Linked DNA regions of Astyanax mexicanus. The protein of the gene in region 1 purifies or fractionates together with the protein of each later gene. This does not show direct contact. Links are inferred from orthologs where the notes say so. Each region holds a gene or a part of one and is shown on either strand. Other genes may lie near its edges. The genes, in order: dis3l, exosc9, exosome complex component RRP40 and hbs1l.

Evidence for each region.
Region 2: the proteins of dis3l (region 1) and exosc9 purify together in Homo sapiens (affinity purification with mass spectrometry; 3 studies listed by BioGRID and IntAct, with this or other methods). This does not show direct contact. The link is inferred for Astyanax mexicanus from reciprocal best matches to the Homo sapiens genes DIS3L and EXOSC9.
Region 3: the proteins of dis3l (region 1) and exosome complex component RRP40 purify together in Homo sapiens (affinity purification with mass spectrometry; 6 studies listed by BioGRID and IntAct, counting the BioPlex papers as one, with this or other methods). This does not show direct contact. The link is inferred for Astyanax mexicanus from reciprocal best matches to the Homo sapiens genes DIS3L and EXOSC3.
Region 4: the proteins of dis3l (region 1) and hbs1l purify together in Homo sapiens (affinity purification with mass spectrometry; 5 studies listed by BioGRID and IntAct, with this or other methods). This does not show direct contact. The link is inferred for Astyanax mexicanus from reciprocal best matches to the Homo sapiens genes DIS3L and HBS1L.

The regions. Positions count from the first base shown.
Region 1 is NC_064430.1:4,908,890-4,915,824, reverse strand, and holds the start of dis3l (DIS3-like exonuclease 1), read right to left. Parts: upstream 3,006-6,935; 5' UTR 2,914-3,005; coding exon 2,784-2,913; intron 1,648-2,783; coding exon 1,494-1,647; intron 788-1,493; coding exon 659-787; intron 140-658; coding exon 4-139; intron 1-3. Other genes in the region: muc15 (mucin-15), read right to left, coding at 5,399-5,520. UniProt on the Homo sapiens protein: Catalytic component of the RNA exosome complex which has 3'->5' exoribonuclease activity and participates in a multitude of cellular RNA processing and degradation events.
Region 2 is NC_064432.1:2,497,481-2,504,731, reverse strand, and holds the start of exosc9 (exosome complex component RRP45), read right to left. Parts: upstream 3,024-7,251; 5' UTR 2,914-3,023; coding exon 2,848-2,913; intron 1,423-2,847; coding exon 1,328-1,422; intron 588-1,327; coding exon 468-587; intron 1-467. UniProt on the Homo sapiens protein: Non-catalytic component of the RNA exosome complex which has 3'->5' exoribonuclease activity and participates in a multitude of cellular RNA processing and degradation events.
Region 3 is NC_064409.1:67,969,502-67,977,359, forward strand, and holds the start of exosome complex component RRP40, read right to left. Parts: upstream 3,016-7,858; 5' UTR 2,952-3,015; coding exon 2,724-2,951; intron 1,302-2,723; coding exon 1,152-1,301; intron 891-1,151; coding exon 739-890; intron 1-738. Other genes in the region: uridine diphosphate glucose pyrophosphatase NUDT22, read left to right, coding at 4,533-4,684. UniProt on the Homo sapiens protein: Non-catalytic component of the RNA exosome complex which has 3'->5' exoribonuclease activity and participates in a multitude of cellular RNA processing and degradation events.
Region 4 is NC_064420.1:44,408,623-44,415,692, forward strand, and holds the start of hbs1l (HBS1-like protein), read right to left. Parts: upstream 3,020-7,070; 5' UTR 2,922-3,019; coding exon 2,879-2,921; intron 1,573-2,878; coding exon 1,507-1,572; intron 1-1,506. UniProt on the Homo sapiens protein: GTPase component of the Pelota-HBS1L complex, a complex that recognizes stalled ribosomes and triggers the No-Go Decay (NGD) pathway.

The DNA.
Region 1 (6,935 bases):
TACTCGGGTTGAGATGACGTAAACCCCACTGTTGAGACTGCTGTACTCCTTAACAGCGTCCTGGTCTTCTGTGATCATAACCACTGGCTTCAGACCAGCCAGGTGGTTATAATACCACACTGCTGCATGATACACACACCTGAAACCAGCACAAATGCTCAAGATCAGCTTGTATTGATATCAAAATACTGCGATTCTTTGATTCTTTATACATCACAAAATGATTCTCTACAATACTTTACATCATCTGTTTTACTGAAGAGGGTAAAATACGCATAGATATGAAAATTACAGATTTTTTTGGTGTCATATGTGTTTATTTGCATGCTTGTTCAAATGTAAAACAACTTAATTTACTAAATTAACAAAAACAAATTTGCCAGTGGTGCAATGAATGGCCATTCCAAACTATTTATTTAATTAGAAATTAATGCAATTTTGCTTTATTATCCTCTTATTCTTTCGTTATTTTGTTGGCATTATATGGTCTTTAGATTACATCATCATCATCATCATCATCATCATCAATATATCGCAATATATGTTGTCCACAAAATGCTGTTATTGTGACAGGTCTAATATCGTGATATCATGATATCATCATTAATATCATGAATGATAAGCTTCACAAATCACACTAAATTAAATTATCAGTCACCTTGTGTGCCATTTCTCCTGCGTCTCTCCTTTCTCTCGGGGGCAGTAGGAATACTGCTGAAACTCATTGGCAAACAAGACGCAGTCATGGCGGGGGTCCTTCAGGAGACCACGTAACCTGTTATAGTGCCTGCAGAATGTAATAATAAGAATAATTTGACATACACAGTACAGAAAGAAAGAAAAAAAGACATTCTGCATTCCACACACTATTTAATTTAGCAAGGGACCAATCCACACTCTAGGTCACAAAACCAAAAATTGGTCAGGCCTTTTGGCCTTTTAAGTGGTCTCACTCTGGATCTAATGAACCTGAAAACAATTTTACAGATGGTTTAGGACTTTCGGACCAATTACGAGAAGTTGAGGCAGGCTATCGTCACTTATTAAACAATAGAAGAAGAAACAGAACTGGTCTTGTGCCGAAATCCGACTACCTTCACGTAGAGGCGCATCACGCAGCAGTATGGCTACAACAGATTACTCTGGTGATTACTGTAACTACTGTAACTGTAGATTAACTTTCATTCATAAACTGAAATAACTGAAATAAATCAAATCACATGACTGGGGAGTCAAATTCTATCAGGTAGACAGAATTCAGCACAACATCTGGAAATGCATCTCATCAAATTGACAATATTCTACAAACCAATCAGTGCAGGTATAGTATAGGGAGACTCCACCCATTTAGTAAAGTTATGCAGAGTGAAACCAATGAACTAAATGTACAGACTACAATGTAACCTTGGTTCAGACTCTGATCCAGCCTCAGAGTGTTATAATTTAACATTGTTAAATTATATAATTTAACAGACATCGTATCAGCAGCATACCTCCGTCCTCGGGCGTGATGTGCAGCCTGACAGGCCGTCTGGGTAAACACAATCCCTTGCAACTCTCTAAACTCCAGGACCTCCAGAAAGTCCCGCACCACTACAGCATCCGGCACCACGTAGTGGGTCACATCCCCAGACAGCAGCTTACCATCTATATGAGCACAGTGGGAGCATTAGCATGTATAATTTATACATATACTTTATAAAACTACAGCAGTAGAGCTGGGCAATATGACGTTATTTTATCAAACTGTGATACATTTGTGTACATTTTGATAAATGGCACACTTATTTTGTTCCATTATTATGATTGTATACAAAATCACTCTGTTAAAGCAGTATATTATCTAGGTTAAATAGGAAATCTGATATTAAGGTAAGTTAAAGAGATAATAAGTGTATTGTCTCACGTTAAATGTATAAGTTATATGGATATATTATTCTATAGTTATATATTTCTATAGGTATATAGTCATATGGTTCTATAGTTACACAGTTATACAATTATACAGCTCCTTAGCTCTACAGTTATACAGTTACATATATTTCTATAATTCTTCTGCTTTATAGTTCAGTAGTTCTACACTTATACAACTTTATAGTTTAATAGCCCTTCAATTATACAACTCAATAGTTATATAGTTATACAGCTCAATAGTTCTACAGTTATATAACTCTATAGTTTAATAGTTCTACAGTTATACAATTATACAGCTCTATAGTTCTATGACGTTAGTTATACAACTCCATAGTTTAATAGTTCTGTACAAATCTACAGCTCTATAGTTTAATAGTTCTACAGTTATACAGCTCTATAGTTCTACAGATATACAGCTCTATAGATCTACAGTTCTATACATTTCTACAGTTGTACAGCTCTATAGTTCTACATATATACAGTTATACAGCTTTATAGCTCAATGGTTATATAGTTTTACAATCATACAGCTTTATAGTTCAAAAGTTACACAGTGATAAAGATATGTGGTTCAATAGTTATTCAGCTCTATAGGTCTACGTTTATACAATAAAATAGTTCTATAGTTCAATAGTTTTACAGTTATATAGGTTTAAATAAAGATATATAATTATATTACTGTTAGTTATACAGTGTTGTGGTTTAACGTTAACTGTAAGCTGTATCTCTTGGCCACAGGGAAAATGTTACATGTGTAAGTTCTATAGTGATACAATGTTATAGTTATACATGTATATATAGTTATATAGTTATATAGAGTGCTGTGGTGGTTATATATAATGTAATATAGTGTAGTGTATGTATCTTACCGCGGTCACAGCCCGCCTCACACACTGCGCAGCCGCAGCTCACCCGCTCCCTCACATAGTGCTCCCTCACCACCCGCACCTTCCCCCCTCTACTGCTCTTTAAATGCAGCACCTTCTCCGTTTTAAACATTATATTAACTCTATATTAACTCTATGATAACTCTAATATACCAAACAACAACAAACAGCCGGCCTCTTAACTTCTTCTCCCGGAGTTCAGACCAATCACAGCGCATTACCGCCCCTACCGATCCGGAGTGTGAAGTACAGACGGCGAACCCGAAGCTCCAAAGAGATACCAAAGGGACACTTGGAGATGTCCAAAAGGACACTTGGAGATTCCCGAAAAAGATACTTGGAGATACCAAAGGGACACTTGGAGATGTCCAATAGGACACTTGGAGATGCCTTAAAGGTCACTTATATACATACATATATATATATATATATATATATATATATATATATATATATATATATATATATATATATATATATATATATATATATATATATATATATATATATATATATTAATGTACAGTATTCGTGTGCAACCACATCCTGCTTCACTGTGTGAAAACCTGGCTATGCATGCTCATGAAATAATTAGCCAACACATTTTCTTTTGAAAACTTTTTTGTTTATTTTATTGTTTGAGTGCTCCAGTGTTATTATCTATGATCTGCATTGAATAACCGTAAACTTATTATATAAAATATTCCAACCAATTAAGAGACCATCAATTTCTCTGTTTTTTTCTATGCATAGGTTTATGTTTGGGTAGAATTAACATTGTTGTTTTATTCTATAAACTACAGACAACATTTCTCCCAAATTCCAAATAAAAATATTGCCATTTAGAGCATTTATTTGCAGAAAATAAGAAATGGCTGAAATAACAAAAAAGATACAGAGCTTTCAGACTTGAATAATGCAAAGAAAACAAGTTCATATTCATAAAGTTTTAAGAGTTCAGAAATAATCAATATTTGGTGGAATAACCCTGGTTTTTAATCACAGTTTTCATGCATTGTGGCATCATGTTCTCCTCCTCCACCAGTCTTACACAGTGCTTTTAGATAAATTTATGCTACTTTACTCCTGGTGCAAAAATTTAAGCAGTTCAGTTTGGTTTTATGGTTTGTGATCATCCATCTTCCTCTTGATTATATTCCAGAGGTTTTTAATTTGGTAAAATCAAAGAAACCCATACTTTTTATGTGGCCTCTAATTGTTTTCCAGAGCTGTCTACAGTATCTTTAAGAAGTTTTGAAGTTTCTGCACAATCACTGTTACAGATCAGAAGAAGTTCAGAACCTGATTTTTTAATATATTTTTTAATATGAACACTCGTTTTTTTCAATATGACATCAAGTAGATCCACATAATAACACCACAAACTGTTCTAATACACATGCATTTCCCAGAAGCCCATTCTGCTGTCTGACCTATCATCTGATCATCTTTACTAATAAATCTGGAACAAAGATCTTTAAAATATCGAACTGAATCAAAATATTACCAGCATTATTTAATAAAACTACATTTACGTAATAAAAATAAGAAGAATTATATTAAACAGCTTATAACTGTATTCAAGGGTTCAGACACATTTGTTGTGCCCAACAAATTTAGAAGCTAATTTCTGTTTTTCCCAATAGTCAATGGTGAAATATTACTAAAATTAGCATCTTACTTTAGAAGAAAACCTGAGGTACACTGGTACCTCAAAAAGAAGATATAGATATTTTGTGTTTGTGACTAATAAAGAACTTCAGATTTTCATAGCACTAACCACATCTAAGCCTTTTTTTTTACCTTAGCTTAGCTTAGCTTAGCTTGCATTACAGTCTAAGCAAGGCAAGACACATCAACAGAAGTACCTACCTAGCAAACAGATTAGTGCCCATTCCACCAGTAGAGAAATTACACATAAAAGGTACCATAATTAAGCTTTTTATTAAAATAACTTATATTCACTCAGGATACTTCCTTATAGTTTGATGTACATTACTTAACTAACTATTACTTAAATCATATAATCTTTACTGAAATGGGATAACACATTTTCACAAAAAATGGAATCATTTAAGTTTGATACTGATGGAACAGGCACTAATTTGTTAGCTACAACAGATTCTTCAACAAAGTTAGCGAGCTATCTAGCTAGGCACTCCCTGATTTATATATATATATATATATATATATATATATATATATATATATATATATATATATATATAATATGATGTCATGTGAAACCCTAGATTAATATTAATATTAATATTTACTGAAATGGGATAACACAGGACTACATATGATTTATATTTAAATGAAAAATGAATAAAAAAATTAATGTAACACCAAAAACACTGTTCAATCTGTGCATTTTTTTCCAGCAGTCAATACGAACGAGGGAAAAAATGAGAAGAAAAAGAGGTTTTGGTCCATTTAAAGTGGCAAAATTCATTTGGCATATTATTTTCGTTATTTCTTTACAAAGATTTTTGTATATATACTTTAATAAAGATACGTTCTGCCCAGATTCACAATCAGTAACATCACGGTCCAGCACACATAACAGTGTTCTCCTTGGCACAGCAGTGTAATCTTCAGTTAGAGTGTCCTCTTGGGAAGTTGGTCATCTGGATATTGTCTCCTTGAACTCCAGGGTTGTAGTAGCCACTGCCATCGTATTTCAGGTCCAGAGGCTCGCTGTTGTCCAACCTGAGAACTATAAATAGAAGACAAATGCAAATATTGGGGTCAGATAAGTATACAGTATGTAAAACAACGGAGAATACAATAAAGCATTTAAGGCTTACATAGAAGGCCTAACAATTTCTTGGAAATAACAACTAAAATAAACTTTATTTACAGTTTTATTACATTTTTATTTTATAAAATTGTACTGCAGACTATTATACATTCATATTTTACACTGAAAGGGGAAAAAAGCCTATAGTTATCTCTGAATCCCTGCCCAGAAAACTGACCCAGTCATTATTATTATAGGCTACTGTTCACGATAAACAAGAAAACAGGAGAAACCACAGTAGGTCAAAGTAGATATCAATCTCCCCAGCAACCCGTCCTTAACAATGGACAAAACCTATTAAGTTAACTCCCAGCACAAATAGAAAGCTACAGAAGAATCAACCAATTCTGTTTATAGTTCAGGTCAGTTTCCTGGACAGGGAATAAGCCTAGTTATGAACTAAAACTGAAATATAGTCAATGACTAAGCTTAAGCCCTGTCTAAGAAACTACCCCTTAGAATAAGATAGATTAGTTTTGCTGGATGACTCAATCTAGACCTTATAGTTTTACAAGACAAAATATTGTGATCTATTGAAAATTTCTCCAAATAATACACTAATTTGGTTGTCAGACAGTTTTACACTGTCTTTTTTTTATCAAATTGATTGAACAAAATGTCTGAGCAACAGTGTATTGTTGAAGTTTTGGTAACAGTTTACAGCAAATGTCAGTCCTGAAGATGTCAGTATGTCTGCCATAAACTCTGTTGCACTCACTAAAGACTCCCAGCATGCAGTTACACCAGACATTCCGGACGCAGCTAATCGTTCTAATTCGCCTAGCTTCTAATTACACACACCTGTCATGTTAGTATGAATACCCCCTGTTTCTGTTCCTTGTCACAGATTATTAAATTTGATTAGCCAGCTCTTTTATGTCACATTTCATTAGTATTTGCCATTATTCCCTTTCTTTCCTTTCTTTCCCTTTTTGCCCTCTTTGTTGTTTGTTTACCATAGCTGACCATTATTTTTGTGTTTAGACCTTTCTTTTGCTTTGCACTGTTTTCTGCTGGATCACTCGTGTATGACCATGTTTTGCCTGACCACTCCCCCCGGTATGTTGTTGTATCTTGGTGCACTTTTGATGTTAACCAAGCCTGTCCCACGTAACTCATGTAGGTTTAAGCACTTTGTTAATAAACTTTATGTTAAGTATCTGCATACAGTATGTCTACCTCACTTCTAGCCGGCATGACAATAAGGGTCACAAATAACAGGATATAATACTTCCACATTAATAAACATTGTTAAATGGTTCGGAAATGTCTTAACTAGTTATTAATGGACACTAATTTAGACATTATTAAACATAAATAATTATTAATGC
Region 2 (7,251 bases), on another chromosome or scaffold:
TGAGGCTTTTCAGGGAGAGATTCGTTCACATTACACACAGATACAGATCACTTACATTTACAGTGAATGTGAACCGACAAGATCTGAGCAAAAAAAAAAAATCAGATTTGGGCAATGTGGCTTGTAATGTCAACGTAGCCATAGAGAAGGGGAGCATCATTAGCCTGCCATCCTGAGTTTAAATCAGCCAATCACAGACTCTTTCTTTTGAGTAAAACCTGGACTGCTATGGACTAGAACTGTAACGTCTTTAGAGACAAATCCAGGTTCTGTTTAGGATTCAACAAAGACCTTGTTGTACTTTTAAACTCATTTAAACTGCTTTTAAACTAAAAGCTTTATACCATTCCAACAATCCAAGGTTATGGGGAATAAAATTAATAATTTGATACACATTGTAGAACATAAAATTTCATGATCTATTGTATTTACGTGAACATGGCCTTCGTGTAGCAGTACTACAGTACCTGTTGGGCTGAAACGCAGGTGATGCCATGGGGGACAGCTCCAGGTTAAAGAACACGATTCCCTCTGTGGGACGTGAATCTTTGGGTGGCACAAGCTCACATGATACCTGAGCCAACACCCTTCAGAGACAGAGACAGAGACAGTCAGTCACATACATACCATCCATCTGTCTGCTGTATGTACAGCAACAGTCAAAAAATTAGATAAACCTAAAAATGCAGTGGTTTTTCATTTTTTTTTAATTATCTGCATTGTAGATTAATAATTAAGTCATCATTTGGTAAAGTGAAAAGTGTTAAACAAACCAAAATATGCTTTCTATTTTAGATTTCGTAAAGTCAGCTTTTATGAGGTTTTTAATGGAACGGCTTTCAGTTAACAGCTGTGTTAAATCTGTTTCATTCAATCAGAAAAATGTTGGAACACTTTAAAGAATTCTTAAGTTCAGTCGCAAAGACCAAATCAAAATTTATGATGAAACTGGCACTCATCAGGAACGGATTTACCAGCATTAAAAAACCACAAGTTAACAGCACCCCTGATAAAATGCATCTACAAGCTTCACAGAGTATCTTGTTTGGTTTGCTTAACACTTTTTAAGTTACTACATGACTCCTTATGTGTTCCTTCATATTCTGAATGACTGTATATATATTTACAACAATTTCAATTTAATTAAATTTTATTGATATACACTTATGAACCAAACTATTAAGACCACATAAAGAAATAAGCCTAATGCACTGTACTGTGATCCATCTGTGTACCACAAGCTTATTTTATCATTAACAAACATTAAAATTAAAAAACAAATTTAGAGACAGGAGTGTTAGGCTCCTATTAAACTACAGTAGCTTACCTGGTTTTGCCGAGACTGACCGTACAGCAGCCATAATCTGTACCAAATGTGATTCTTATGTTGCGGTAGTCGTATGTCTGCCTTCCATCCAGGCGCTGAAACAAATAAATGAACATGGTTTATTTTCTGATGATGCAGATTCACCACATACACTACATGCACTACATACATATTATAGCTTAATACTACAACATTTAAATGAACTATACTACAGTTTATTATTATAATAAAATAGAATGTACATAGACTACTGGTCAAAAGTTTTAGGACACCTCTATTGTTTAGAAGTCCAGTAGAAGTCTGTTTTTTTTTTTTCTAATCTTATCAATGATTTTATTACTGCACTTCACCTGTCAGACCTCTAATTCTTCTCTTCACTGCTGAAACTGAGACTTAGTTTATTGTTAATCTGAACTGAAGGCGCTGTTGCCATGTGGATCAGCCAGACGTAACTCTTCCTGTAGCAGTTTTTCTCCAGTTTCCGAGTCTTTCGAAGGTGTAGGAAACAGTCTGTAATTTCTCTAAAGAAAATATTTTTGCTTTTAATGGTTACACAGTTACCACTTATTATGATGAAATTGTATAAATGCTGCAGGAGATATATATTTTAAACAATATACTAATATATTATAGTACTAGTAGAGTATAGTATAGATTAGTATAAGCTTATGAGTTACACATAACAGGAACTTGATTCTTCTTCTTGCAGCATCTATTCCTGATCATATTAAAAGCATTTTATATTATCATTTTACGATAATATTTTATAATATCATTTGAATGAAATTTGATAACACGTGTTCATGTTCTACAGAGGGACTGTAGAAAGCATCCTGGGCACCTGCATTACCGTCTGGTTTGGGAACTGCAACACCTCAGATCGCAAGTCCCTACAGCGGATAGTGCGGACAGCTGAGAAGATCCCTCTTCCCTCAATCACCGAGATCTACACCACACGCTGCATCAGCAAAGCCACCAGCATTGTGAATGACCCCACCCATCCCTCACACGGACTCTTCGCTCTGATGCCGTCCGGCAGAAGATACAGGAGCATCCGAGCCTCCATTTCTAGACTCTGCAACAGCTTCATCCACCAGGCAGTCAGACTCCTCAACGCACAGAGCCTCTACTACCAGACTCTGAAACAGCTTCATCCACCAGGCAGTCAGACTCCTCAACACACAGAGACAGAGCTGAACCCCACCCCACCAAACCCCACCGAACCCCACCCCACCCACCACACCACACACCCAACACACTCACACAAAACTGAACTGTACCCGTCACTTCTGCACTCAGATGTACTGACAATAAAAGCCTCTTGACTTGACTTGACTCTGTTCTGTGGTTTATATAAACAGCTTTATTAGATAAATCACTGAACCCTGAATCACTGCATCTCTGATTAGACTGGATCTGAGTGAGTAACAGGTGTGAACAGTGGGACTGGGAGTAATCCTGCTGATCTGCTGCTGTTTTATAAACTAGTTAAGTTCAGATAAGAGAAATCAGTCTCTTACCTTCTTCTCCTCCACAGCTTTCAGAAGAAAGGTTCTCTCGCAGGCTGAGAGCGGAGTTTCCTTCATATTTCTCTCTGTCTATGTCTCTTTCTCTGTTTATCCCGGTCTCAGTAAACACCTCTCTGTAGGAACACAGTCTGCACTCAGTCACGCTGCTGCTGCGTCGCGGTTTGAGTGCGTCATCACAGCCGGAGCACAGCCGGGCTGTGACCGATATGGCTCCCTCTTTACTCTTTAGGGCACTATTGAGTGTGTCAGCCATTTTTCTTTGAGTGTCCCAGAATGCAACGCGAGTCTTGCTACCTAGCAACAGACAGCCTAGCCATCAGGGTTGCCAAATTATTACATTGAAATTAAGGTAAACCCATAGACTGTATATAGCTGGACAGAGCATCGTCTCTTAAAAGTGAAGCCACCACAGGTCGGGCGCCCCCTGCTGTTCGGCTGCAGAAAGCTGTGTAACTCCACCCATCCCCATAGGTTTCAATGGCAAAACAGACAACATTCAATCACGTTTTTTTCTAATATACTGTAATTCTACCTCCATTATTTAAATGCAACAGCTTTAGTGTAACCTCTGCTTATATTGTAAATTTTTTTATATCCCCACAGAATTCGGTTTTTAAAACTTTATTCGGCTCTATTCAAAAAAGGTGTGGTTATTGTAAAAGGGCTGTAAATATAAAAGTCATCAGCTCAGAGCTTCACTTACTGTAATTCAGAGCTCAGCTCGTGTTTTAATGAAGTTTTAAACACAGTTCAGGTGTTTAAGTGAGCAGAGCGGACGCGTGTTAATGACTAGTTAGTGAACTACACAGTCTCTCCCTATATAGGGCACACTACTGAGGGAGTAGGAATCCATTTCGGACACACTCCTGGTGTTCCGTCGAGTTCGGCTACCCACAGATATGTGCTACCTTATGTTCCGCGCATGCGTTAACTCATTTTTTAAAAACGTTTTCATGTGTTTTTTTTTTCTGATAATTTTAATAATAATGGTTTTCTCCAAGCTCACTAACATTGTTTGAGTGTTCTAGCCATGTGAACATATATATGTATAATAAAAAATAACTATTTTCACCTATATATACACTAGGGTAGCACGGTTTGACAAGGTAGCACAAATCGACAGAACGCCGGTGTTCGAGTTGCGCTAGCCATGGCCATTTGTGCTACTTAACGGCTCTGCGCATGCGTTAACTCATTTTTTTTACTGTTTTAGTGTGTTTTCCTGATAATTACAACAAGAATAATAAGAAGAATAACAACAAGAACAACAATAATAATAATAATAATAATTGGAAATTTGTTGCTTAGTATTTAAATGTGAGTTTTAAGGTTTGTATTATGGAAAACACCACAGCACAGTTAAACCTAACCACTGATTTATTTAAGAAAAGGTGGAAAACATTGAAAACATACTTAAAATACTGTACATACTGTTAAATTGTGTATATGTATAAAAGTGTTTATGCGTGTGCAGGCAGGTGAAAACGTGTACATGTGTGTATATGTATATAGGTATGTATACATGTAACTATATAGACAATGTTAATGTGTTTTTTTTATCCCTCTAAACTGTAGAGAAAAGATTTTTTAAGATCTCCACCTATCCAGACGTTTTTTTGTCTATTTTCAGTTGTTCATTCTATTGTATTGAAATGCTATTTGTGGCTTAATTTCCAACATAATGGCTTTGAAATGCAAACAAAATATTTTTCTTTATACAATAAAATATACTATTGTTAAAAAAAAATAAATAAAAAGTGAGTTTTTAGTCATTAAGTTGCAACACAGACACACAAAACACACAACAAGAGCATTTAAAATAGTTTATTTATAAACATAAACTTGCTATAAAACCCACTGCATTTCAAGGGTTGCCAAGTTGTCCTATCTCTCGTCTTTAAGAGGATAAAATAAATACACAGCTTTAACACACGGGCCAGTTTCTCCATCCGAGTGAGAAAACCGTAGGCTACATCACCTCGCTCCATAATTCTTATATATCTTAATTAGAGATTAGCCTACACAAATAAGACAGATCATATGACCTATGGCCCATGACCTGTATTTCCTTTAGGTTATTTAAAACAGATCTGGGATACTAAAACATAATTTGAGAGCATGCCAAGCCCCATTCACAACAGCCAAACGTTGCAGAAGTATCGTTACGCAGATCACAGGGTTTATGAATAAAAAGACACTGGTATGAAATAGTCATTTCTGCATATATCCATCTGTTTACCATCTGCAATGGTAGAACAAACAAGCAAAGAAAATGGAAAATGTTGCTCTGAGCGTTGCACACGGAACACAAGCACACAACAACCTCCTTCCAAAGGTGCAATCAATCATTCGTAAGGCACGACACAGCAATGTGTATGATTTACAGCTGTCTGGAACAACAGAAAAGAAAGAAAAACAAAAACAAAAACTAAGAAACTAAGACAAACAACCTTAACGTTTTTTTTTTCTTCTTCTCTGCCGAACGGCTGCGAAATGTAATGTAACAACGTAAAGAAGAACCAAAATGGAAATAGAAATTCATTCACTAATTATAACGCAATTTCAAACTTCATGCATTTCAAACCGCAAGCTAGGCTAATATATCTGATCACGAATTGAAGCAAATGAGAGCAAACGAGAGGAGGAACAAGAACAGAAATAAAAATAATACTTAAAACACAGGTTAACACATCGATTAACTTAAAACCACGTGCTTAACAAACCAGGTTTATTAAGAGTTTTTTGTCTTTTTTTTTTTTTTTGCTTTTTCTGAGATGATAATGAAAGATTTCCAGTCACTTCCTTCACAATCGGCCTGTCGCAGAGTCATGCAGCATTAAGTAGTGCCTGCTATTAAGGCAAAATGTAGGAAAAAAGTAAAACTGAAAACTTTGCCTACTTGAAGGCTTTATCCCATTATTCACCTTCCGGCTGAAATTGAACGAAATGGTGCAAAAAGTCTTTGGACAGGCTACAAGTAAAGATGGGCTTAATCAATTCCTAAGGCTACAAGCTATAAGGGCTTAACATTGCTTATCATGCTGAAATTCACTTTCAACTTTCAACTTCATACGGGGGGTTAATTTTCCTTCCAAAATAGAACATTTATCAGTTTTCCTGACAAAATAAAATGACTACGGATTAATTACAAATAGGGATGTACTGAATTATTTGGCAAAAAAAACAAAAACGTCCTAAGTTGGCAAAAAAAAGCAATGTTCTTATTTAACGCCAAGTCATTTGATGCAATGTTTTCATTTTAGTATTGTATGAATTACTTTAAACTGTGTAAAATACAGTTAATACTCACATAATGTAACTAGAATAGCACTACTGAGGTAAATTCACTAGCTAGCTAGTTAACTGTTGAGGTAAACGTACAGTAGCTAGCTAGCTGCTTTGTTGGTACGCCTGCTGGAATATTAAAAATGTTTATATGGTAAATAAAAAATTGTAACAGCTTTTTTTTCTTTGACAAGCAGGTCAACAATTCCTGTAGACTATAAATTTTACCCAGTGGTGAAAAAAGTGGCAAATTTAATGAAAACCCTGGCACCAAATGTTTCATTTTGTTCAGTTTCGATCAAAAATCAGGACATGCTTTCATTGCTTAACTGTTAAAAACGAATTAAAGTCAACAAAAAAAACTAAAATTGAACAAGAGGAGCGAGTGCACAAAAGCACAAAAAGACACACAAATTTAACTAAATTGAACTGTAGAGTGGAATAAAACAAAAAAAAAAATCCAAGTTAAAATTTCAACCACAGTTTTAAAATTATGAACATTTCACTCAGCGGTCCTTTTCCTGCTTGGTTACCAAATTCCCAACTTTCCTGCAAAATTGGCAGGAATTGGATTTCTTGCCTTATGTTCACATCCTTCACATTTGTTTAAGTTTTTTTTTAGCATCCCCCCATATCCGATGTAAAAATGTAAAGTTGAAGCCCGTATATATATGCTCAGTTCAGAGGGTCCAATGTGCAAAACCGCTGACTTCCCTAGCTACATCTCTTTCTCTTATCCAGCTGCTCAATGATTAGGTTATTAAACGTTATTAAACATTATAATCTCAGTAGAACCTTTCTCGCTGAAAAGGCGGGTCTGTGTTTTATTGCTAATTTAATTGATCTATACTATCCAGGCGAGTGGAAAGATCCATTTTGTACAACAAGCTAACGTGAGGTTTTAATACTTGTTACCACAATTCATTTTTTCACTCATGTGTCTAATGGTCAGAAGCACATATTTGCAGCTTAGTGTGATTAAGAGTCCAGAATAATAAACAAACACGCCGTAAATATCCCAGTTTCATCCGTTTGAGTTGCAGGGTGATCTGAATGGTTGTGCTTTTATGTAAATCACTCCACAATTGAAACATCAGCTCTCATGTCTTC
Region 3 (7,858 bases), on another chromosome or scaffold:
TTATTATTTTTAATAATAATTTTGCCACCAAGTTTGACTCCAACTTTCACTGTAATCTGCTGTAATGTGTGCAATACCAAACACTTCCTGAGATTTTCATACTCAGTGAAATAAGTTCTAATGAAGAAATCCTTACAACCAAGCGGAGATGTTTACCCGTACAATAAAATAAAAAATAAAAAAAGGTTTTTATTTAAAGGTTTTTCCTCTATACAATTTGTCATACATTTTTTATTTCAGCGTCCCACGTTGACTTTATCTCCCCTCAAACATACAAGTATACAATAATTTTAATTAACACCACTAATATTAATTTAATAGCATTTTACATTTCTAACATTCATTCTTCTATTTACATTCAAATGTATATATATATATATATATATATATATATATATATATATATATATATATATATATATATATATATATTCTTTACAAATAAGGTAAATTATTGCTTTTTTAAACATTTAAATAGACATAATAGCTTTGAATTCTTATGCATATTTTTACAGAAAATGGCAAATTCATTTAAAGATTGTGTTTATCTACGCAGTACAAAAAACACCATGTTATCTGGCTTTAAGAAAACTTCTGTGTATGAAACAGACTTTGATTAGAATGCTGAATGTTGCAGGATTTAGACTGAATGCTAAGCAGAAGATTTCTGATGTATTTTTCTTGTCTTTTGTGTACAGCATTATCATCGTATTTTTAGGCTGCTGGCACTCTGCATACCTGCGTACTAATCCCAGAGAAACCTTGAAGAGAAGCCCGTCCGCTCCAAATACTCCCATCCCATTGGCCCGCCCACAGCTATCTATGCACACAAGCTCCGGCTCCATGTCTTTGTTGGCAATAGTGAACTGTGCATAAACCAGATCTCCAACCTATAAAGCACAGAAACAAACAGTCAGACAAACTAAATGAGCTGCAATAATTAAATAACAATATCTGTTATAAAAAAATATCTGTTTCTGTGGGATACATTAGTTGGATTAGGTGAGTTTGGCACAATGAAAACACATGAAAAATGTGGGCGTCCAGGACCAAGCTTAAGAAATACTAGTTTGGACTATGTTGGGCTACTGATTTTGCTATAAACACACAGTGTAAGCAGTGAAGCATGCTTTTTTCAAAAGGTACTGTACCTGCACATTGGGTCTGTTCCTCTTGGTGGCTCCTTCAAACGCTAGGTAGGACAGAGATGCCTGCTCACTGCCTCCAACATCCACTTTAAAGATGTCTCCAGACTTTGCAGTCACTATTCCAATCACACTCTCGCCCTTAACTGGAACATACTGGAGAAAATGATCAGTTAAAAGATTTAGCATGTACAGTATATACACAACAGTTATATTGTTCCAGTCAAAATTTGGACACACCTCTTCTCATTTAATGTGTTTTCATTCTTTTTACGATTTTCTTTACATTGTAAATTTAATATTGAAGACATTAAAGCTATATAGAATCACATATGTTTTAAACTTTAGATTCTTCTAAGTAGGCTCATTTTGCTTTGAGGACAGATCTGCACATTCTTGGCATTTTAATCTCAGTGTCTTCACTGAGGACGGTGTTCCTGGAGATTGGGTTGGGTTGAGGTGAGGGGATTGTTTACTGTGTAATTTCACATGTCCCTCTTAATTGTTTTCATGTATTTAATATTAATCTATGATGTATAAAATAAATATTAGAAAAATAAATATAGAAAAACATTAAATGAGAAGGTGTGTCTAAACATATGTTTTGATACTGTACTACAGTTATATATATTACAGTACAGTAAAGTAATACAGCTCTAAAAAAAAAAAAAAGAGACCACTTCAGTTGCTGAATCAATTTCTCTGATTTTGTATATGGTTAATGTTTGAGAAAAATACACACTGTTTTATTCCACAAACAACATTTCTCCCAAAATTCAAATAAAAATATTGTCATTTAGAGCATTTATTGAGAAATGAGAAATGGCTGAAACAACAACAAGATGCAGAGCTTGCAGACCTCAAATAATGCAAAGAAAACACGTTCATATTCATAAAGTTTTAAGAGTTCAGATATCAATATTTGGTGGAATAACCCTGGTTTTTATTTACAGTTTTCATGCATCTTGGCATGTATTCCTCCACCAGTCTTACACAATGCTTTCGGATAAGTTTATGCCACTACTGGTGCAAAAAAATCAAACACTTTATACATAGGTTTAACATCCATATTCCACTTGAATATATTGCAGAGGTTTTTAATCTGTTAAAATCAAAGAAACTAATAAGCAATAATTGTTAAGTGCTCTCTTATTTTCTTCCTCAGAGCTGTACGTAAGAATCTGTAGTCAGACCTTTTTTCAAAACTAAAAACCCAGCCAACTCCAGAATAGTTTTTGCTGGTAGCTGTTTTCAGATGGTCTAAGCTGGTCTTTGATGGTGAATGAGGTTAAGAGATGTTGGTCATCCAGGTTGATCAAGCTTGATCATACTGTTGACCTGACTAGTTAGCTTGTTTAGGTTGATGATGCTTGTAGTCCAGCTAAACAATCTAACTCAAATAGAATCACACCCCCATACTGATACTGATACTGGTCAGAATCGAATCTGGACAACAAGGAATTTCCGACCAGAAGCTGGGTGTGGAGCTTCGGCTGTGAAACTGAATAAATTCACATGTCAGCAGAACACACAGATAGACTGACAGCATGTGTGTGAGCTGGGGTTTGTTAAGGTTACCCTCTTCTGCTGGGAGTCTATCCAGTACAAGTTGGGGGCTTTATGGCGGAGAATCCCACTTTTGTACACCAGGATTTCGTCCCCGTTCCTCCGCAGCCCCGGACCGCAGATCACCCGCTCCGCCCGCACAGCGCTGCCCTCCACCGCGGACACGTCGAAGCAGAACACGTCCCCAGGTAAGATCACCTGCCCTAGCTTCTCTCTGAAACAGGAGTAAACCGCCTCCATACTCACACAGGGCTCCTGCACATGTGCGAGTACTGACAACACCACACACACTCTTCCGGTACAGCGCAGGAAACAGCATTACAATATAAAAGTCCCCCTCAGACAACACACACAGCCCCCTCTGTTCACTGTAAAAAAAATACTGTAGTTCTTAAAAATGTCATAAATCCAATAATTTTTGTTTGAATCACACTTTTTTCTGTTTGTCTGTTTAGGTTTGTTGTTTGTTTGTGTTTTTGTTTTGATGTGTTTGTGATGTTGATTGTATATGCTGTGAATTTGACCTATTATTATTGCATGCTCTTGGATTGTATTGTATAGTTTTTTTTTTGTTTTAAATATAAATAAGATTTTTTTTAGAAAATAATGCACAGCTCTGGAACAAATGAGACCACTTAAAAATGTAGTTACTTTGATTTTACTAAATTGAAAACCTCAATGTAATCAAGATAACAAGCCATCATACCAAGCTTAAGTTATCCAAAAGCAGTGTGTAAGACTGGGGGAGGAGTGCATGCGAAGATGCATGAAAACTGTGATTAAAAACCATTTTTTAATATATATTTTTTGGTTTCAAATACAATTAAGATTTTTTTGTATATTATGTACAGCTCTGGAAAACATAAGAAACCACTTAAAAATACGAGTTTCTTTGATTTTAGCAAATTGAAAACCTCTGGAATATAATCAAAAGGAAGATGGATGATCACAAGCCATTAAACCAAGCTGAACTTCTTGCATTTTCGCACCAGGAGTGGAACAAAGTTATCCAAAAGCAGTGTGTAAGACTGGTGGAGGAGTGCATGCGAAGATGCATGAAAACCGTAATTAAAAAACAGGTTTATTCCAGCAAATATTAAAACTTTATGAATATGATTTTTTTTATTTGCATTATTTGAGGTGTGAAAGTTCTGCATCTTTTTTTTTTTTTTTGTTATTTCAGCCATTTCTCATTTTCTGCAAATAAATGCTCTAAATGACAATATTTTTATTTGGAATTTGGGAGGAATTGTGTTTCTAGAATAAAACAACAATGTTCATTTTGCTCAAACATATACCTATAAATAGCTAAATCAGAGAAACTGATTCTGAAAATGAAGTGGTCTCTTCATTTTTTCCTGAGCTGTATAATGGTGTTACACAAATATCCTTAAATATAGCCCGATCAAAAGTTTCAGGACATCCCTGACCGAGTAATACACAACAAGAAACAACTCACCAGGGTATTGGACGGTTGTCGGTTGATTTTAGCCAATCACTGTAAAGTAGGCGGGACTTGTCGGAATATAGGTGGGGATACAACTAGAAAACTACAAAGCTGCAGTTCCTTGTTCAGGTGTTTCCTGTCTTTTTTAACTCTGTTTCTCACTGTGCTGTGTTGTGTAATATCAGAGCAGTGAGCACCAACAGCTCATCTAGCTGCAGGTTTAGCCCTGGACCATGGGTTTCTTTACAGCCGGGGGATGATTATGAAGGTTACGTTAATTTAGTTAGCTAGTTGTAACTAGCCGGCTAGCATTTCTGAACTAGCATATCTGTAGCAGCTGAGCTGAGCTAGCCCGGTGTGTTCAGTGCGTTTAGATGGATGCCGCTCTGTCAGAGGGTGCAGAAGATCCTGACACGTATAAGAAACATCATAAACACCCCATGGATCCAGAGGTCTCTGTGATGCTGCACTGTGCTCCCTCTCAGGGTCTGGAAGAACATCAGATCCGAGCAGAGATATCGACCAGGTACCCCTTCTGTATTCCTGCTCAGTAGATAACTCAGCATTTCTCACACACCACACAAATCTCACAGCTCAACACCTATTACTAACAAGGGCCAATATTCAGTGTAATGTGCTTTAATCTCAAAATAACAAGGTAGTATCTGACAATTATGACTTACTACCTCAAAACAATGCGCATCTCAAAATAAGGACTTACTATCTCAAAGTTACAAGGTAGTATCTGACAATTATGACATATTGCCTCAAAAGAATGAGCATCTCAAAATAAGGACTTAGTATCTCCAAATAAACAAGTAAGTATCTGACAATTATATGATGTACTACCTCAAAATAATGGGCATCTAAAAATAAGGACGTAGTATCTCAAAATAAACAAGGAAGTATATGACAATTATGACTTACTATCTCAAAATAAACAAGGAAGTATATGACAATTATGACTTACTATCTCAAAATAATGAGCATCTAAAAATAAGGACATAGTATATCAAAATAAACAAGGAAGTATCTGACGATTATGATGTACTACCTCAAAACAATGCACATCTCAAAATAAGGACTTACTATCTCAAAGTTACAAGGTAGTATCTGACAATTATGACATATTGCCTCAAAAGAATGAGCATCTAAAAATAAGGACTTACTATCTCAAAAGAAACAAGGAAGTATCTGACACTTATGACTTGCTATCTCAAAATAATGAGCATCTCAAAATAAGGACTAAGTATCTCAAAATTACAAGGTAGTATCTGACAATTATGACATATTGCCTCAAAAGAATGAGCATCTAAAAATAAGGACTTACTATCTCAAAATAAACAAGGTAGTATCTGACAATTATGACTTACTATCTCAAAATAATGAGCATCTAAAAATAAGGACTTACTATCTCAAAATAAACAAGGTAGTATCTGACAATTATGACTTACTATCTCAAAATAATGAGCATCTAAAAATAAGGACTTACTATCTCAAAATAAACAAGGAAGTATCTGACGATTATGATGTACTACCTCAAAGCAATGAGCATCTAAAAATAAGGACTTACTATCTCAAAATAAACAAGGAAGTATCTGACGATTATGATGTACTACCTCAAAGCAATGAGCATCTAAAAATAAGGACTTACTATCTCAAAATAAACAAGGTAGTATCTGACAATTATGACTTGCTATCTCAAAATAATGAGCATCTCAAAATAAGGACTTAGTATCTCAAAATTACAAGGTAGTATCTGACAATTATGACATATTGCCTCAAAATAATGAGCATCTCAAAATAAGGACTTACTATCTCAAAGTTGCAAGGTAGTATCTGACAATTATGACTTGCTATCTCAAAATAATGAGCATCTAAAAATAAGGACTTACTATCTCAAAATAAACAAGGAAGTATCTGACGATTATGATGTACTACCTCAAAGCAATGAGCATCTAAAAATAAGGACTTACTATCTCAAAATAAACAAGGTAGTATCTGACAATTATGACTTGCTATCTCAAAATAATGAGCATCTCAAAATAAGGACTAAGTATCTCAAAATTACAAGGTAGTATCTGACAATTATGACATATTGCCTCAAAAGAATGAGCATCTAAAAATAAGGACTTACTATCTCAAAATAAACAAGGTAGTATCTGACAATTATGACTTACTATCTCAAAATAATGAGCATCTAAAAATAAGGACTTACTATCTCAAAATAAACAAGGTAGTATCTGACAATTATGACTTACTATCTCAAAATAATGAGCATCTAAAAATAAGGACTTACTATCTCAAAATAAACAAGGAAGTATCTGACGATTATGATGTACTACCTCAAAGCAATGAGCATCTAAAAATAAGGACTTACTATCTCAAAATTACAAGGTAGTATCTGACAATTATGACATATTGCCTCAAAATAATGAGCATCTCAAAATAAGGACTTACTATCTCAAAGTTACAAGGTAGTATCTGACAATTATGACTTGCTATCTCAAAATAATGAGCATCTAAAAATAAGGACTTACTATCTCAAAATAAACAAGGTAGTATCTGACAATTATGACTTACTATCTCAAAATAATGAGCATCTAAAAATAAGGACTTACTATCTCAAAATAAACAAGGAAGTATCTGACGATTATGATGTACTACCTCAAAGCAATGAGCATCTAAAAATAAGGACTTAGTATCTCAAAATTACAAGGTAGTATCTGACAATTATGACATATTGCCTCAAAATAATGAGCATCTCAAAATAAGGACTTACTATCTCAAAATAAACAAGGTAGTATCTGACAATTATGACTTGCTATCTCAAAATAATGAGCATCTCAAAATAAGGACTTAGTATCTTAAAATAACAAGGTAGTATCTGACAAGTATGACTTACTATCTCAAGATAACAAATTATATTTCTGAAGTATATTTAGAAATCAAGCGATTTAAACGTATCCAAATCTCTGTTCGCCCTGTCATCTTGAAAAAACCCAACCCCCTTTTAGAAAGTAGCCTTTGACGACAGTGCACTGACATCAAAAGTTTCATACTGTTTTATTTTCATGCCACTTGTGTCAGGGCCAGACAGGAATGAGACTGGTGCAGATACAATAAAATAACTTTTATTAAAGTTATAGAGTAGACAGGGGTAGTCAACAGAAACAGGGTCAATACCAAACATGCACAGTGTAGAGAAACCATACCATAACCGGAGGACAGTCCAGAGTTCATACACGGGTAGGCAATATCACAGGGTAGGCAAAAATCCAGAGTACAATAAACAGTCCAGGTCATACACGGTAATCCAACACAAGGGAGCAGGCAAAAATCAAAGTCGGTAGAAAACAAAAACAAGATCATACACGGAGAATAGCAAGGGCAAGAGAAACGCTTTGTATTGTAGGATTTACCAAACAGATACTCGGCGAGGTGTGAGCGTGAGCATGGTCCTTAAATACACTGAGTAATCAGTACTCGGGACTTCCTGGTGGCGTCATGTGACGTGTCATGTGATCGGGAGTGTGTGTTGTCATGGAGTGGTGCGTTCTGGGTATTGTAGTTGTTACTGTGAGAATCGCAGATAGAGCTGGATGTGGGAGACACAGACGTGCTTTCAGCACCAGACATGACAGTACCCTCCCCCTGAGGGACCGGAGCGGAGGCAGAACGGGGCCGACCCCGGCGACGA
Region 4 (7,070 bases), on another chromosome or scaffold:
AAATTACGTTGCACAGGTAGGCCAACGTAGATTTAAAATACCTGCTCAGGACGATCTTTGGTGTTGATGTGTAAAAGCCTAACCAGGGTTTCAAACCCTAGTCAGTTTGGTTGATGAGGCTATTAAAGGATTATATATTTTTTTAAGATTTTAGATGATACAGAGAGATAAATTAATTCCTATATTAGCCTTGTAGCTGCAGAGAAAACTAAAGAAGCAACACTTTGGAAACTAACTCTTGGTTAACCTCTTAAATTCCAGAATGTGCTATAAATGCTGAATAATTCATAATGGTTTCTGCATTAGGACAGATGGTTTGGCATGGTTCTGTACACACAGTCTCACAGAGCATTAAAATAAGCTGTAAGGCGCAGATAACAAGAGAGGATGAAAATTCAACAGCATGTTTCACCCAAACGATTGCATGGTATTGTGGGAATTGTAATAGATTTCAAGATATTCTTTTTCACAGTTCTGGAACTTGTGCTGGACACTTCTCTACCTAAATCAGTGCTCCATCTCTTTGGGCTGTCAGTCAGACTGAAGCAAAAATGTGGTCCATCTGGGTGGTGTCCTCTAGGACTGTGTTTGACAACCCTTTCCCCAAAGCATCTTAAGCACTATCTGAACGGGATTAGTTTCTCAGGGGGACATCTGTGAAAAATATTTCACCCTTCTACTCAGTGATAAAACTCTTACATCCAGACTGCAATTGAAATAAACAGGGGGACCTGTGAGGTTTTTTTTCTCGATAACGTGACACCGCGTTCAGTAGCTCCTCCATTTCCACTCGCTGTTTTGTTTACATGAATCTCCATGGAAACAAGCGTCCAAAGTGTAAATATGGTGCGTGACAGAGGACAAATAGCCATTTTATTAAACTCGAGGTGACGGAACTCAGAAATCTGGACGGGAATAAAATTACTGGAGGACCACGGAGATTAGCGAAAAACAGTAGATAATTCAGCCTGTAATTTTGCCCAAACATGGTCATTCCGGATGTTAATAATCACAGAGGACTCCCCATAAAAGAGAAAATTTCCTCAGGACCCCCCAAAAAAACTAATCCTGTCCGGACAGGGCTTTTGACTGATATTTTTAAAAGACTATTCCTCCAAATTATTTACACCTTCATTCAAGAGTTTGAAATTAACAAAGTGAAGATTGGTTCTATGATGCCTTTCGGAAGGTAGAAGGGTGAAATCCAAACCATTGTGAGAACCAAACCACGACTTTCATGCCTCATTAATTATGACTAACATCTAAAAAAATAAACTTAGAGTTGAGGCTGTTAATTGGCCATTTCAGAGGTAAGGACTAATCACTGACTATCACTGTTTTGGCGACTGGACTTTACTTGAAAAATATTTACGCCTCATTTTATCAAAACAACAAAACACAGCCTACACAACCTAGCCAACACCACCAGCATCACACACAACATCAGTACTGTTACAGAGAGTCACATGACATGAGAGTAATTACCACAATCTCAGTAGAACCAACCTGTAGCAGGGGAGATGCAGTAATCATCATCCACTGACTGTCCATAAATGTCATCATCTTCAAAATCTGTGAGGAAAAGAGAACAGAAGACAAAATTAGGCTCAATTAGGAAAGAGAGATTGTAAAAACATTATTTAAAGCACAATATGTATAGACAATAAATTATATTTCTTTTTTTAACAATGTTTTGGCACACCCGTCAAACCAATTAATTTAAAACACTGCTATTTAAATACTCTTCAATGCAAAGTAAAGTGTTTTTTTTATTCAGCTTTTTTTTTTTTTTTTTTGCTGAATGCCATCCATTAATTAAACACTTTAAAACTCTAATGAAAAGTAGAGCAGGATCGGTGTTCCTTAAGCAATAATGGTGATATCTTTGATATGTATATTAAAGCATATTGTCGATACAATTCCAAAATGAATCACGATACAATCAAATATCGGTTTGTTGCCCAGCTCTAAATACACTCACAGTGTACCAAATGGCATTAAACACTGAGTCAGCTACTCACATATGGCCTGGTCATCAAACCTGTAAACAGCAGCATTGTCTGACACAACTTCAAAACATAGACAATTCATATATTTATTAGATCCACACATAAGTCCTAAACGTTAACTTAAGCTCTATTACTGAAATACTAATAACACACATGCTTTTATTAGCTATTAATGTTCATTAGTTTGCCCAATTTCACCAAAACAGACAATACCATTAAAGAGCATATCTACAACATTAAAATAAAGACAGTTTATATATGTATTAGAGCCTCATATAAATCTTAATCGTTAAAATATGCTTATTTAGTGAAACATTAAGAACACTACTGACTGCTTTTATTAGGTTAATGTTTATTAATTTGCACAATTTCACCAAAACAGATAACACCACAAAAGAGCAGATCTACAACATTAAAATATAGACAGTTTATATGTTTATATGTTTTATATGTTTAACACAAAGCATAAACACAAATAAGTGTTTAGTTAAGCTCATAAATGGACATGTTTCAGACTGAAGTTAGCTAACGGTTGGTTAGCAGATGCAGATAGCTGCATTAGCACTGCAGTAACTTCATACTGCTAAAAATATACTGGCAGAAACGCAAGCAGCGTGTTGTTGAAAGGTGATAAATGTAAGTACAGCTATTCTACAGCAGATTTAAGCACGACAGGAACTTCTACAGACAGTTTATTACATATAAACAGCGGTAAAGTACTGACACGCCATCACTCAAACAATCACACCGGGCCAGGCTAAGCTAAGCTAACTGAGCCACCCAGCTAACCAGCTCTCAGCTCTTATCTCCAGCTTTTAAAACTCGTTTATTGAGACAGCCACACGCACACTAGCTGGTATATAATCTACCTTCGTCGTAGTTATAGCCCCGGACATTCCTGTGGCGAGACATGGTTTATTCAGGGAGTTTTCTGTGCTTTTTCCAGGCTAAAGTTCAGGCATATGCGTCTCACTCCACTGCCGCCATGATTACCCGTCAACGCGGCGAGGGCGCGCATGCGCAGTGAAGACTTTTGGAATAAAAGTCACTTTAATCTTGTTTTTATTAAATTATTTAATAATCAATAATTGCATGTTTTTATGTGTTTTATGTTGCAAAAACATGGTAGACAGTGAAATGATGCCATAAAGTTTTTGGATTCTTCTAGGGTTCCCCAAGTTCTTTCATAAATAGTACATAAGCTCCAGATTATATATATTTTTTTTAAATCTGTATTTACTTTAAACACATATCGTTCCTGTCCAATAAAATACTTTTTTATTATTATTATTATTTATTATTTTTGTTTATTTGTAATTTACTACACAATTTAAACGTACAAAATATCCTTTACATTGTTTAAAAAATAAAAATTGATGAATGGACCAATACAAATTCTCCAAAATGACCTGACAAAATTTTTATCTCTTTTAGATAAATGTAGTGAGCAATTAATTCTTTATCATGATAAATTATGACACACGACAACAACGACAATACAAGTTGTATTTTAGCATTCAGTTTTAGAAATCAGGTCAGCAAAAAAAAACGCCTAATAAAACATAATTTAATTTAAGCATGTAAATTGTTAAAATGGTTGAAACAGACCTTTAAAACCTAAAACACACCTTTAAAAGGTGTCTTGTGGGTTATTTTTAATAACCTTTTTAAATAATGTTTCTTGTACTATTTTTTTATTAAAAAAAACAGACAATTATGTCGTAGTTTACTTAAAAATACAGTGCCACATTTGTGCATCCTTATTATTAAGTTATGTTTAATTAAATGGTAAATACAAATTAAATATTTAATTTGTTTCAGCCACTGGTCTTTGGCTCTGAGACATACTGAGAAATTACCAGGTGGAAAAATCCCCTGAGAGAGTTATTTCCCAGTGGAAACTCTCCCACAGCTGCTGCACCTCATCCTGTCCTGGAAACCACCTTCTTCTCCCCCCCTCTGCCCTCACTTGCTTCTCTCTTCTCTCTTTCTGTCTCTCCAGCAGGACTTTAGGAGCAAAGGTCTTACATAATGTGATGCATCTCACTGATGAAACTGTCATAAATGATTATGCATGCATTCACATTAAATATAAGTCCCACGCCTTGTCTTACTCCTAATACAGATGTATACAAATGTAACACATGTCTGTTTGGGTAGCCTTGCACAAAGCTGCAGTATATGCAACAAACGTGCACAAAAGCTTATTCATATTTTCTTCTGAAATCAAGGGAATTTACCTAGTTCACTGGCTGACTAAAGAGAGAGAGCCAGGAGGTAACATAGACACAAGGGCACCCTGAAACACTGGCATCCATCCAATTTATCATCTACAAACCTCAGAGATTGCATTTATATTATATCCTTAATTCTATAAACACTAGAATCTGCAGCATTTTAACCAAAGGGAAATATAAATTACCAAATCTAAACTAAACAAGTTTATTTTAGTCTACAATCGAAGATTGAGTTTGTGTTTAAATCATTATCTAGAAGCATATATAGTTCCACTACATAGATCAGTGCTGAAGGGCTTTATACCCCTCTAGCTCACGCCTAGCATTAGGCATGGCATAATGCCAAAAGGTCCAAGTTTATCTGTTCCAGAGAGTCCTGTTTTACTGGAAGTACTTCTTAACAAGGTGTTACAAAAGTATGTGGAATGGGTGCAAAAGAAGGGTATGTGCATGGTGCCTACCCTACTTGACTTTACTTTCTCTTTTGGTATCTGGTTCCCAGTTAGTTTTCCACTACCAACCATAGCTTCCAATGGTAGAGGAAACGTCAAGTTGCTCTATGAATTGCTCTTTAAAAGTAATGTGTGATTGCATTATTATGCTATTCATCTCAAGGGGAATTGTTGCAAAAATTTGCAGCTACACATGGCGTAGTCAATTTGAGAGTTTTCAGCGAGATCGGAAGATCGCTGGTTCGAAAGTCATGTAGCTCGCCATCAGCTGCCGGATCCCTGAGAGAGTACAATTGTCCTTGCTCTCTTTTGGTGGGTAGATGGCGCTCAACCTAGATGCTTCTAGGTGACGTCTACACCCTAGATGTAGATCAGCAAAGGGCATCTGTGAGCTGATTTATTGGAACTTTCCTCAGAGCGCGCTGTGATGCTACTCAGTTGGAAAAGAGACTTTACGTGTTTCGGAGGAGGCATGTGCTAGTCTTTACTCTCCTTGTGTTGTGGCATCACTAGCGTTGGGGGATATACAGCTGACTAGCAGATAAATGGGTCGGCCAATTGGCCTAGCTAAATTAGGGGAGAAAAAATGGAAGTGGAAAAAAAAAGTGGAAAAAACATGGCATTGGGCTGTGAAAGTGTCTTTAATGAAGTCTGAAGGTGATCTGCCATTGTAGAAAATTGCAACTGTTGATCTTGGTGCTGACCACAGTCCCTCCACATTCGGGGTCATTGGTCATATCAAACCAATACAAATATGTGACTCATCGCTGAAGATCTGCCATGACTACCCACCTAAATTCATTCCTGTCAAAAGATTCCTTCTGGATGCAAACATTTTTTGTGATGTAAAAAGACAATAATTGTGTTATTTATTGCAATTATTTTTGGAACAATATATCACTTACAAAACTGGTAATTGTGACCGCCTATTTCTAGTCTCTCCACAACTATCCACCACACATTGGTGTCCATAAATACACTGAACATAACCATATAAAGAACCGTGAAATGCTCTTGTTCTCTCCATCCCTCACTCTGTGTAGATTTAGGTCACTCTAAGAAAGCATGAGGCGAGAGAACCTCAAAGCTGCAGTGTTGAGAAAGTGTGTGAGTACTGCAGGTGTCTGTTTTTGTTCCGAGTTAAATTTAGGTCTGTGCACAAGTGTCAAATGTCATACAGATGTGAATGACACCTTTCAGCACAGAAAAAAATAAAACCTGCAGAGGAAGATCAATCACACATACACACTCACACACACAAACAGATACAGATATACTCACACAACCTTGATTCATTTGGCTAGAGTGCCTTGGCAGTTTTTCTGTGTCCATAGTCGATGGAAAGTTTGAGTATTTTTACTCAGGGCTACTTCTTAGGATAAATATAATCAGTAAACGTGATTCATCAGTTTAACCTACAAAAATATTTTATATGGAAAGAAACAGTTAAACTGCTTAAATTCCCTGTAATAAAAACTGTACTTTAAATAAAATGACACACAGCGAAACAATTAGAAACAGTTAGATAAACAAAGCAATACTAGGAAATGGAGAGTTCTGCCTCTGATTGGTTGAACAAATTCAAACCAGTTTTACAATATCTCACAACAACACACAACAACCCAATTTTGGTCGAATTGCTGTAAGGACTTATACAATAGTGCAATAGTGAGAGAGTATTAGTGAGGTCACGATGTTGGATAATCACCACCTCCACCTCATCTCAAACTTCCCAACTCATCCCTAAAGTACTGTATGGAGCATTAGCTCAATACTGGGGTGGCTTTATATCTCTCTACTCTCAATGCCCACACCAATATGTTAATTTTCTGTTGCCAATATACCTCTGCAGTGGCTAGACATACATTTGGACATATAGTGTAAATAAAATGAAAAAGTAAAGCGAAATAATTCTGCTCTTTCATACTACATCATTAATAGGCCTGTTTGGAGTATTTTTTTCCCAAGAGCCCACCTCTCACTGTAGTTCAGGGAGTCTCCCGCATTTTAATAGTGGCTCTCTAATGCCCACATATTATATATGATCATATGTAATATTTGTTTAGGGCCAGCAAGTGAACAAGAGAGGGAGCATTAAGGCAATGGGAAGGAAAGGGGCAAAAGAGGAAGACACATACACACTTAGTGAGAAAGTAACAAAAACATCATCATGATTGGCCTCTTTTTATGCTGGCTAATTGGCTAATGCACACAGTGGTACAGAATTATCCAACTACAGTCTTTTTCTTCTGTATAGGGGTGAAATAATAACACAGTTAAAACAATGTTAGGAACTATGACACCTATCTTACCAACAGTGGGATAAATTAAAGCAGAAATTATATTGAGCTGTTTTTTTGTTTTTTTTTCTG